Linked DNA regions of Caenorhabditis elegans. The protein of the gene in region 2 interacts with the protein of the main gene of each other region in a pairwise test. Each region holds a gene or a part of one and is shown on either strand. Other genes may lie near its edges.

Region 1 (7,842 bases), on a different chromosome or scaffold from region 2:
GAAGCTCTCGGCAAGCTGAATATGAATATACTAATGAAAATGTCGAAATCTCCAAGTTTCAAATGAATTTGACGAAATAAAGCTCACTTCCTCCAGTCCAAAGCGGTGAAACATGAAAAATGATAGTCGAGCGGAGCAGCAGTGATGCGGAATATGCTGAAAATTACATTTTTAGGAAATATGTGTAGCTTTCACTAGTTTTCTATATCTGAATTAAATTATTGAGAGTTCCATGAGAGAAACTGAATTTGCGCGTCAAATATGGCGCATTGGGTCCGCGCGCCTTTTGCAATAAAAATACGGTACTCGGTCTCCCCACGCGAAATATCTCGTGGCGAAAACTACAGTAATTCTTTAAATGACTACTGTAGTTTCGATTTACGGGCTTGACTTTCGAAATGATATTTTCAAATTTCTTGCAAACTTTTAATATTTTTTCGATAAATAAATAATTTATTTTATTGAAATAAAATTAAAATTATGCAAGAAATGAGAAAATATCATTTCGAAAGTTAAGCCCGACACTACAGTAGTCTTTTAAATAATTACTGTAGTTTTCGTTACGAAATATTTTGCGCGTCAAATATGTTGCGCAATACGCAATCTCAGGATTTGTGCTATTTTAACACACGTGGTGTCAGAATGTCCCATGTCGGTTTGATCTACGTAGATCAACAAAAAAAACGGGAGTTTGAGACACCGACTTCTGAACTGATTTTGCTGACGTCACATTTTTTTGGGCGAAAAATTCCCGCATTTTTTGTAGATCAAACCGTGATTGGACAGCCTGACACCACGTATTAATAAAAATCTTAGAAAAAAACACATTTTTCGCGTTTTTTTTCGTACTTTTTCTTGGAAGTCTTCAAATCTGTCGAATCCGAAATAGTGGCCTTAATCAGATTGATAACCATTTCAGGCCGTTTCGTATTCTGATTTGTGTACAGCAAAAGATAATGTCCACGTAGACACATCCATATTTTCGGCCATTTATTCGTCAGCTCATTCGCATTCAGTTCCGCCCGTGTTTTCCGCCTCCGCACCCATCCTTCAAACAGTTTCTCCATTCCTGCGTAGGCGGCTGATATTGGTGAGCCCGGTAGATCGTCGGGGTTCGGTGACCACTCGGTTTGACTCGTCGACATTTGAAATTTCCCGAATGGCGCCGGACTGCTCACACTGTTCATTGATGACGTGGATGGGGATGGGAGTACGCCGAACGCTGATTCTTCCACTGATGACGTCATTCGGCTGGAATTTCAGGGTTTTTACTGTTTTTTGCTGTAAAAATGTAAAATTTCTTTATTTTTACCTAGAAACTGGCAATAATCTCGGCGAATCCAGACTAAATCCGGAAATATTCGAATCACCGACAGCTCGGAAACTTGGAGCCGCAAACTCTTGGTATGGAGCCTTCCAATCTTCGTCTGAAACTCGTGCTTCCGGTAAATTTAGAACTTTCAGTTCTTCTTTGTCGACTTCTTTAATTTGAGCAAACTCGTTGGGACCTGGAAATTAGAAATTTGGATATTGAGATCGTACTAATGGAAATATTCAATTTGAGTATAAACATGACTAGGTTTCACTATTTAGGGTCTCGTTCCGAATACCTTGGGGGTACTGTAGGCTAAACTAGCGAACTAAATTCAGAGCTGTCGATCTAATTTCTTTGAAATCTGAAAATAATCAAAATTTTTAAAAACGTGGTATTTCGCCACAATATACAAAAAATTCGGGGTCTCGACAAGAATTTTGAAGCGAAAAATTGTCGAGTTTCGGAAAAATCTCAAAAAAATTTTTTTTATTCATTTTAAGCTTTTCTATTTTCAGATTAGGGAAACTATTAATTTGGCCTAACTAGACTTCGAATACTGTAGGTCCCGTCACGAAAAACCTACAGTACCCCGAGATTTTCGTGGCGGGACCCAATTTTGCTTTGACTATAGTCGACTTAAGGCTTAATGATTCAAAAAATTAATTTAATTTTTTTTTTCAATTTTTTAAACGAATTTGATAGCGTTCCGTGTAAAAAACTGTTGATGATCGAAAAATTTTGTTAAATTTTGCCATTTTTCTTCTTTTTTTTTTAATTTCAAAATTTTTTAAATTCAAATTAGCAGAAAATTGTATGAATTCTTATGTATTTTTTTCTGGTCAAAACATTTTTTCATTTTTGTTTCAGATTTTGGCTGGCCATACTCAAATTGCAGTCCTTCCGTGCACAAATTTGATGCCAAAAAATGTATTTCTCTAAAAACTTACACTTGACATTAAAAGTCAACTGATCATTGACGACATCATCCTCAATATCAGTAACAAGCTTATTATCAATAAAGCTTCGAACATAACCATCCGGTTGATGACGCATTGTTCTTGTTCTTTTAGCAATTCTTGGAACTAATGCTTCTTCTTCTCCATCTACATTTCGAATAAATTCATGAACATCCCAATCATCTTCATCATCTCCGTCTAGAGCTCGTTCGTCTATATTTTTTCGTTCTTTTCTCGGACACGCAGAGGCTATGGAGGAACGGCGGATTAGGCGGCGACTTATTCGGCTGGAAATATTTTTTTTTTAATTTTTTCAGAATGAAAATATTGCTCTTCTAGAAAATTGATTTTATTTTGAAATTTCAAAAAAAAAAGAAAAAAAACATTAATTTTTTTTCAAATTTGGAGTGAAAAAAGGAAAATTCCGAAAATTCCCAATTTTAAACTTCAAAAATAAAATTTTAATTTAAAAAAAATTAGCAAATCCAATTTTTGTCTTTAAAAATTTTTTTTAATTTTTTTGTTCAAAATTTTGGAAATTTGTTGAAAAAAAATTCTCACATTTTTCTCTCATTTTCCTTAATAATTTCCGAAATCACATGACAACTTCGATGCCTTTTCAATGGTTCAGATTGTCCAAATGGATCATAATCATCTGTTGAATAGGTCTTCGCCGTCTGACTCGACGGAGCAAGAGCTCGAGCCGCCAGCTTCGATTGTTTCGGTAGTTGAGGCTCTCGGGGACGGCGTTTCACGATAAGTGAGAGCTCCAGGACATCCAGAGCTCCAACTTGTTGAACAACACTCGTCAAATCCCATCCAACAACAGTTCGTCCATTGATCATTAGAATTTCATCGCCTGCGTCGATTTTTGTACACGCGTCTGCTGGGGATCCTTCTTTGATTTCACTAATTACATGGACACCACGGTATGAGGATTGAATGTTGAGACCCTGCAAATTGAGATGGGATTGAGGACTCGATCGTTCCAGGTTTTTCCTCAAGAAAATTGAAAATACTGGAAAAAAATATTTTAACAAAATCAAAATTCTGAAAATAAAAATTAAAAAAAAAATTTAAAATTAATTCAGGTTTTCCAAGTTAAAAAATGTTTTTAATATGAAACAAATCGGAAAAATCAACTTATTTCTGCTTTCCGTGTTTGTTTTTCGAAAAAAAAATCGGAAAAATAATTATTTCGATTTATGCTCAACTTTCTGGTTTTTCCTCAAGAAAATGAGAAAATGTTGGAAAAATTCTTCGATCTCTTCGCGAGCGTGAATAAATAAATAAATTTCATTTTTGAATAATTGAAAAAATCAAAAAAAATTTTTTTTTGATGAATTCCAGGATTTTTCCATTTTTTTGTTGTAAAAAACCTACCCAATTAATATTATCAGATCTTCGGCGAAGTAGAGCAGATTCGATAAAACACGCGTACAGGATCAACGGATCATCACAGTCGACAATTTTCTGGCATTCATAGGCCAGCTCTTTTGACATCTGGAAATAAATTTTTTTGTAGTTTAATTTTATTTAAAAAATTTTTAATTCAAGAACGACTGAAAAAATTTCAATTTTTTTAAATTGTAATTCAGTTAACTATAATTTGTTAATTTTTTGCAATAATTTCTAACTTGTGATTTTCAAAAAAAAAACAGTTTTTTTCATATTTAAAGCCATCAGAATTAAAAAAATTACATTTTTTATAAAACATTTTGAGGAAAACAAAACGGATTTTTTTTTTGAGAAAAATTAAACTTTAAAAAATAATAATTCGCTTTTATTGTCTGGAAAATTGATTTTTAATTCAAAAAAAATTATATCGTATCCTGTAATTTTTTTTTCCAATAAAATAAATAATTAATTGTAGAAATTAATTTCTAATTACTTTAAAATGTTCTTAATTAGAAAATGGATGTTTTCTCAATTTTGAAAAAAAAATCCAATTTTTTTGCAGAAAAATCAATTTAAAAAATTTAAGAATCATAGATATTGTCTGAAGAATTAATTTTTTTAAATTACATTTTTCTGGCAAAAATCTGATTTTTTTTTAAATTGAAAAATTTTAAATCCGACATTTTCTGAAACTTTTGAAGCTGATTATTTTTCGATTTCAAGTTTTTTAATAAATATTTTTAATTATTTGAGAAATATTCATTGAAATCTTCAGAAACTGTCTGATTTGAAAAAAAACTTTTCAAATTTTTTTAAAATTCAAATTTTCAGTCAAAATATCCCATCGATAACCTAAAAATCCTCACCCTAACAATTTGACTTCCAGTCTCAAACAAAGCTTTCGGTTGTACATTAACATTTCTCAATAGGTTCCACATAAAAGAAGAAACACTATTTCTAACGTTAATAAATTCGGGTTCCTCGTCAAACGGAGTCCGATCAAGCCAAAAAACGAATCGTTTCGTGTGCTCGGCGAGCTGTAACACTGCATTTGACACACTATTCAGAATATTCACAATTTCCGATCGACGGATCGCTTTCTCCCGCATTCGCATCGCTGACGTCATCGTGCGTTCTACGTAGAGACACGAGGTTTTTACTTGTTGAGCCAGGCGTTGGAGATTCTCGTGTTCCGATTCGTGACACTGAAAATGAAAATAATTTTTAAAAATCAACAAAATTTCTGATAAAAAATCTTGAAAAATTAGACTTTCAGAGTTTTTTCTTGATGTTCAGGAGATTAGTACAAAGCAAGTTTTGAATTTTTCTGCGAAAAATCCAAAATTAGGCGGTAGGCAGGCAGGAATGCCTACTTTGGTTTTTTTTTCCAGAGTAGACAGAAAATCATTAAAACATCTTTGAAAAAATTGCGGAGAAGTTAGTAAAATTCAAAATCTCTTAAAAATCATTAAATTTTTAAAAAATCGACTGAAAATCCTAGAAAACTTATAATTTTTTACCATTTTTCATGATTTTTAGCAGCTTTTTCTGCACAAAATGTTTAGTTCCGATGGAAGTTTTTTCTCACTAAATAGTGGTTTTCTCCGAAAAGACACTTTTTTTCAAAAAAAAATCTTAAAAACTTCAAAAATTTGCGGAAAAGTTAGAATCTCTTCTGAACTTTGTGGAGCTTTACAGCTGATTTTTAGAATTGGTTGAAAATTCAGCAAAAACTGCTGAAAATTCTATTTCGAAAAAAATCCATTTTCCTGTTGAAAACTCCATCTTACAAAGTAGAGAAGCAACGAAACAGCCTGAAAAATCGTTTTCCTAGCTCCGAGAGCCGAAATGCCAATTTTTTTGAGCGAATCGTCGTCGAGAGCCTCCAATTGTTTTCCGCTTTTTATATTGTCACGAATCATGCCCAAATATGGATTCATTTGATCGCCAAGTCCTGGAAATTATTAATTTTTCAGTGAATATTTTTTTCCGCGGCGATAAAAACCTTCAATCCATCTTGCAATTTCTTTTCCTTTCCACTGCTCAACACATCGGGCAAACGAGAGTTGGGGCTCGTAGCTGGCGGAGAGCATCGGACTTCCCGAACGGAGACCGGATGACACTGAAATTTAAATTTAAATATTTTAATGAAGAAATCTGTTTTTTTTTCAGTTTTTGTGGATTTTTAAATCAGAAACCGTCCAATTTCGCTGGAAATAGCTTCATTTTCGTTTAAATATGTAAGGTTTTCTGGAAATATCGCCAATTTAATTGAAGAATCAATAATTTTTGTGGATTTTCCCAATTAAAAGTTTCGCAAAAATCAATTTTTTACCTGTTTCTGGTGAATTATGTTTTAAGCTAAGGTGCCGGGTTAGTGAGGACATTAAAGTCCTTGAAAAACAATTTTTCGAACAAATTAGTTTCTTCCCCGGCTACAGTATCCACGGTTACTGTAGCCGAGAAACTGTGCCCACCTGAACTAATCCCAGAGGAGATTCCCAACGCCTGTTTGGCTTCAAGTGGTGTCGACGGAAATCCCATTGTGGTTGAGAACATATTCAAAAATTCGGAACAATCACAACATTATGCTAGTTTGGCTGCAGCTGTAAGAATCCAGAATTTCCCAAATTAATTGTAAAAATTGAGGAAAAAGTGCAGAAGGTTGCATAAAATCAACAATTTCTTTTTTTAACTGAAAACAAACACTAAAATTGATTGATTTTTCGCGAAAAAGTTATGAAAATAAATGAAAAATCAAGTACAGTACTAATTAAAAACAAAAATTCCAAGAAAAAAGGAGCATTGCTCAATTTATCGAGCGGGTCCTATGGAGAACTCGGCGTACTCCTCTCGGAGGAGACGTGGCCTAGAATTCTCCTCGTCCCTGTCGATTTACGATGTGACACGGCCTCCACCACGAGAAATGCGCAGAGAGAGCGCAGAGAAAAAGGCGGTCTCTGCGTCTCTCACCTCCACAACATGGCGAGAGTGCGCGCTCAACCACCTCACTTAGAACGAGTCGGGAAGAAAGGAAATTGCATATTTCTGAAAAGAAACAATTGGAACGGATAAAGAGTACTGTCCTCTACAGTCTGGCATAAATTTCACAGAATAGTTTTGTCATTGAAATAAGTGAAGAGAGTGAACATAATATTACACATTCCCCTCTAAAACGAGCAAGTTTAAGATTTTTTCCCAAATTTTTTTTGTAAAATGTATTCAATATATTCCCAATTAATGAGTTAATACAAAAAAACCCCAATAAATAAGTTATGAGAGAAACTTTTTTTGACATCAAACATTTACAGCTCAAAATTTCAGCACTTTCCGGAAGATAGTGACCGTAAAATGAAAGATTTCAAAAATCGGAAACAATACGATTGTTCTAATTTTTAATACGCACATTTTAACATATCACACATAAAAATCCGTCAATGTTGAAAGATGTTATTTGATCTAGAAGGTTGACTACAGTACTAAAATGACCAAATTTTCAGGAAATAGTTGGCTTGGACTCAAAAATCGGAAACAATACGATTGTTCTAATTTTTAATACGCACATTTTGACATATCACACATAAAAATCCGTCAATGTTGAAAGATGTTATTTGATGTAGAAGGTTGGGTGCTTTGATACAGTAGTACCCACTCTACTGCGCCCTCACACTTTGGATGCTCCTATCTCCGCTCCTATGAAAGTTACAAAAAAGTTGTCAACTAACAAAATGTTCAGTGTGACATTGTGAACATTTTTTCTGTTGACAATATTTTTCTAACTAGTAAGACAAATTTTTTACAGGCCCCGAAAGCCGTATTTATGAGAAAATCAGAGATCAGTTCATAACTCAAAAAATAAAGACATTAGAAGAAAGTAGTCAACTACAAATTTGTTAGATATCTTATATAGAGTATGTTTCCGATAAAAAACTCAATTTTAATGTTCAGGATTTTTTGACATGGCCAGTTTAAGATGATCAATTTTCAAAAGTCAAAATCTATTATTTTTGTAGATAGAAATGTAGTTTTTGCTGGTAAATGTTGTTTTTTATCTGCTTAACATTTTCTCAGTTGAACATATTTTTGTATCTTCAGCGAGAACAGAGATTTGATGGTTTTAAGAGAGGGTACTGTAACTGGGACTTCATTCATCAAATCATAGCTATATCTTTT
Region 2 (5,051 bases):
CTACCAGCATGAAGGGTGGTAGGAAGGATATTGGGGTTGTCATGAACTGGAAATTTTGAAGATTTACCTTCAATTTCCATTATCCTGTACCTGCATAATCAAACTTCTCAGCGCAACCTTATGCCTGCTCAGTGTCCCCTTCGATAGGCGACTTTTAACATCTGATAGAACTTTAAACATTCGAAGTACTAGAAGAGATATCACAATGATCGTCTTTAAGGTTCCAGCAGCAGTGAGCACTAGGAATATAATAAAAATATATGCACTGTTGAAGTATGTGTAATAAAATTCATTAAGCTGCTGATACTTCGGGACCAGCGACGGATGGTCTTGACTAATCAACTTCCATTGATCTTCTTTACTAGTCTCGCTGAAGTACCATGCGAGTGTGATAGCCAGTGAGTAGGACATGCATAAATGGTAGATTATAATATAGGTTAGGCTACTTGACGGGTTTGATAAAGTTTTCAGCTGCATGATTGCCTTGTACTTGCGGAGGAAGCATATTGTGAGAACCTCGATTTGACCGCTAAGGAGTAATGTGAATAGGGTCTGAAAGTTTGGCTTTGTTGTTTGACTGTTAATTGCTCAAAATGCTTACAAATAGCGTATGCGTGCTCCAGCCAAACCAACGTGACATAAACCCATGCCCATATCCAGAGAACAGTGGAAATAGTGGAATAGGCTGGAATAGGAAGGCAATGTTCACGTCAGATGCCGTACAAGATACCTGGAATTTTTCAAAGATTTTTTTGAACATACAAATATTTTGTTTAAGTTACCTGAAAAGCCAGCAAATAAAATCGAAAGTTGTCTAGCTTGCCGCTTTGAAACAACAGAAGGTATATGACTAATAAGTTGAGTAGTAATGCAATTGTACCCGACACGTAATAGTGATTAATCAAATGCTCGGGGACCTCGAAGTCAATATTCAAGCTTTCTGACATGTTACTAGAAGGAGTGTGCTCAAAATTGGCAGGAAAAATGAGGAGATTGATTGTTTGGGGGCTCAGCATAAGACATATGTTAAAAAGTCACCTGTCAATATTAATATTAACATCACATTTCTAGATATGATCGAACAATGTTAAGAACAAAGAAACATGAACCACATAATTTCTTGACCAATCACCGCTCGGCCACGCCCACGTTTGCACCAATCAGCGACTCTCAGCACTTTCTGATCTTTGAGTATAATCTATAAGCGGTGGAGATCAAGATTTTATGTTAAAATCTTCAGGAATTTCATTTTTTCGTATCAAACTCACATTGCCTGTCTTGTTCCATGGTTCTGTCATAGGACCCCAAAAGAAGCAACTTGGATTTGAGCCGTTGTAACTCTAAAACGGTAAAAGCTGGTAAAAGTAAAATGTTAAAAGTTGTCAACTAATAAAATATTCATCACATTTTAATAAACATTTCCTGTAACTCTAAAATGGGAAGAGTTATCAAAAAGTTGTCAACTAACAAATTATTCATCACATATTTTTAAGCATCTTGTTAGTTGACAACTTTTTGCTAGCACGTTTTGTTTCAGGGATAAAGGAGATCAAAGGTTTTTTCTGAAATCTGCAATTTTATATTATTATATCTATTATTTTATTATTATATCTATATATTTATAATCTTATATCTAGATTAAAACTGATTTCCGATCACTATCCTGATTTTTTGATAACTATGCGACAATGCTACGAAAATCTCTCCTCTAATCAGTCCGACGTCACAACGAAACTAGAGACATAGAGGAATCAAAGATATCCTGTCCTGCCTGCTTTTCGATTTTTTATATCATTAAATCCTTGAGAAATTTTTCATCTTGATCTCCTCTTCCGTGATTTGATCTGATTCATTCCATTAAACATGTCGTCTTCCTTAGTCTGTTGGCTAAGCTTTTCGGTTCTATTGTTAATTGCTAAAAATTCAGAATCTTGTTTCGCTACTCAGACTCCACAGCAGCCAATTGTGACAAGTACGGTGGCTCCGGCAGGTAAGTCGATTTTCTTAAGTTTAGGCCTAGGCTTAGGCTTAGGCTTAGGCTTTGGTTCAGGCTTAGGCTTAGGATTAGGCTTGGGCTTAGGGTTAGGCGTAGGCTATGGTTTAGTCTTAGGCTTAGGCTTAAGCTTGGCGTCAGTGGCGAGCGTTAGCTCTGACGCTATTTAGGCTTGGGTTTATAGCGTTTTTTTGATTTTTCAAAGGGTTTTAGACTTAGGTTTAGGTTGAGGCTTAGGCTTAGGATTGGGCTTAGGCTAAGGCTTTGACATAGGTTTAGACTTAGTTAGGCTTAGGGTTAGGCTTGGGCTTTGACTTAGATTTAGGCTACGGCTTAGGCTTAATTTTGGACCATTTTTCAACTTTCAGGGGATTTCCAGTGAAAAAAATTTGTGAAAATGTATTAAAATATTCCAAAAAAATCCGAAAAATATCCGAGAAGCCAAAAAAAACTTTCAGAACCAGCATGCTCTCCGGACACACTTGTTCTTGGACAAGGAGACAATCAAAACCCCGAAGTCGCCATCGATGTTACACATTCAGCAGTTACAACTACAGCCGGTACCTCCTCAATGACAATTACTTGCTCTGGAGCCACTGACTTCAATGTGCAAATGGAGCTTAATGGAGCCTTCACACCAGCCGAGAACGACCAGGATCCACTACCCCAGACAGTTACTATCAATGCTCAGTGTAATACCGCCGATATGAAATGGAACTACGTGACTGTGATCAATGGTGAAACGTTCACCGAACCTCTCGACAGTGTGACCTGCCTACAAGTTCAGAATTTGCCGGGAGAGGGGCCGGATCCGGAGCCGGTGGCATGTGATCCGGCGTTGATTACTTATGGAGTTGGAGACGATCAAACCCCTGAGGTCGCCATCGATGTTACACATTCAGCAGTTACAACTACAGCCGGCGTCTCCTCAATGACAATCACTTGCTCTGGAGCCGACGACTTCAACGTGCAAATGGATCTGAATGGAGCCTTCACCCCAGTGGAAAACAATCTGGACCCACCTCCCCAGACGGTTACTATAAATGCTCAGTGCAACACTGCAGATATGATATGGAACTACGTGACAATGGTGAATGGACAGCCATCCACACAGGCGCTTGACAGTGTGACCTGCCAACAAGTTCAGAATTTGCCGGGAGAGGGACCGGATCCGGAGCCGGTGCCATGTGATCCGGCGTTGATAACTTATGGAGTTGGAGACGATCAAACCCCTGAGGTCGCCATCGATGTTACACATTCAGCAGTTACAACTACAGCCGGCGTCTCCTCAATGACAATCACTTGCTCTGGAGCCGACGACTTCAACGTGCAAATGGATCTGAATGGAGCCTTCACCCCAGTGGAAAACAATCTGGACCCACCTCCCCAGACGGTTACTATAAATGCTCAGTGCAACACTGCAGATATGATATGGAACTACGTGACAATGGTGAATGGACAGCCATCCACACAGGCGCTTGACAGTGTGACCTGCCAACAAGTTCAGAATTTGCCGGGAGAGGGACCGGATCCGGAGCCGGTGCCATGTGATCCGGCGTTGATAACTTATGGAGTTGGAGACGATCAAACCCCTGAGGTCGCCATCGATGTTACACATTCAGCAGTTACAACTACAGCCGGCGTCTCCTCAATGACAATCACTTGCTCTGGAGCCGACGACTTCAACGTGCAAATGGATCTGAATGGAGCCTTCACCCCAGTGGAAAACAATCTGGACCCACCTCCCCAGACGGTTACTATAAATGCTCAGTGCAACACTGCAGATATGATATGGAACTACGTGACGATGGTGAATGGACAGCCATCCACACAGGCGCTTGACACTGTGACCTGCCAACAAGTTGAGAATAGGAAGTGTAATCCTGAAGCGGTAATGTTGGGAGTGGGAGACGCTAATCAGCCTCAAACGATGGTCGATGTTACCTATTCAGAGTTAGTTTGGAAGCATGAATTCATGAATTGTGAATCATGAATTTAAGTTGTAAAAACGTACTTAAAATATTTATTCCAGCTTCATGTCGACACCAATTGCCGGAACAGCCGACTCCACTTCCACAATGAAAATTAGCTGCTCTGCAATTGATGGGTACACCGTTTTAATGCAATTGAATGCACAAACAATTCCACTGGAAGGCCAATTCGAACCCCAAGAAGTAACAATTACTGTAACCTGCAATAGTGCTGATATGACGTGGACCTATACGGCAGACGCCGGAACCGGACCTGTAACTATTGATGTTAATTCAGTGAGATGTCTGCACAATCAGAGATAATGTAAAGTGCTGGTTTAATTTAATAAAATAGTACTAGATTATATTTTTTGACAAAGGAATACCAAATACAAAATACAAATTGGACTGCCCTACTCTATTATTTTATCAACACCTACCTAGTTGTTGTAGCTATGATTTTGGTAAAATTCCTACAAACTAACAAATTCAAAAATGTTTTATTTCACAAATGTTAACACACAACAACAAAAAACACTCATGAACAGCCAAAAAATTGAGAAAAACAGGAAAAACGTGGCAATATTGTAGGTCCACCAGTCGCAGTAGGCACGGGCCGTCCATGAGCCGAACACCCAGTAGCAGCCGAATATGCACCTGAAAATTGAGACCCGAAATGTTTAGCAGAACTTTTGATCATTTTGTTAGTTGAAAGTTTTTTGATAGCTCTCTTGGTTGTAGAGTTAAAGGGGTTTAAAGTTGGAAGAGGGAGAGGGAGAGACGCAGAGAAGCAGAGCGCCTCGTCGTCTGCGTCCCCCTCTCTCTCGCACCCACCAACTTCTAACGAGCATATCTCTTGAACGGTTAGAGATTGAAAGAAATTTTCAATTACAAAAATTATCAGCGCAAAATTCTGCATCAAATGAGCTGAGAAATTTTCAAAATCAAAAAAGTCTTACCAAACAAAAATTAGGATATTCAGGAGCACGTGAATGTAGCCGCAAGGATATGGGAACCCGGATCTTCCTGTGGCATCCCTGAGCTCTCCGTCGTCGGATGGTAGCGGGGATTCACGTTTTCGTTGCTGA

Evidence for each region.
Region 1: the proteins of B0454.8 (region 2) and cnk-1 interact in a two-hybrid assay, tested with the Caenorhabditis elegans proteins (one large-scale study listed by BioGRID).

The regions. Positions count from the first base shown.
Region 1 is NC_003281.10:10,269,690-10,277,531, reverse strand, and holds the start of cnk-1 (Connector enhancer of kinase suppressor of ras), read right to left. Parts: upstream 6,276-7,842; 5' UTR 6,229-6,275; coding exon 6,147-6,228; intron 6,100-6,146; exon of another isoform or gene 6,057-6,099; coding exon of another isoform or gene 6,005-6,056; intron 5,792-6,004; coding exon 5,675-5,791; intron 5,624-5,674; coding exon 5,460-5,623; intron 4,875-5,459; coding exon 4,536-4,874; intron 3,775-4,535; coding exon 3,655-3,774; intron 3,225-3,654; coding exon 2,833-3,224; intron 2,559-2,832; coding exon 2,263-2,558; intron 1,509-2,262; coding exon 1,313-1,508; intron 1,252-1,312; coding exon 850-1,251; intron 157-849; coding exon 88-156; intron 1-87.
Region 2 is NC_003280.10:3,040,219-3,045,269, reverse strand, and holds B0454.8 (C6 domain-containing protein), read left to right. Parts: upstream 1-1,811; 5' UTR 1,812-1,863; coding exon 1,864-1,990; intron 1,991-2,451; coding exon 2,452-3,946; intron 3,947-4,025; coding exon 4,026-4,287; 3' UTR 4,288-4,327; downstream 4,328-5,051. Other genes in the region: sri-29 (Serpentine Receptor, class I), read right to left, coding at 1-46, 91-552, 602-730, 783-947; B0454.5 (uncharacterized protein), read right to left, coding at 4,464-4,620, 4,923-5,047.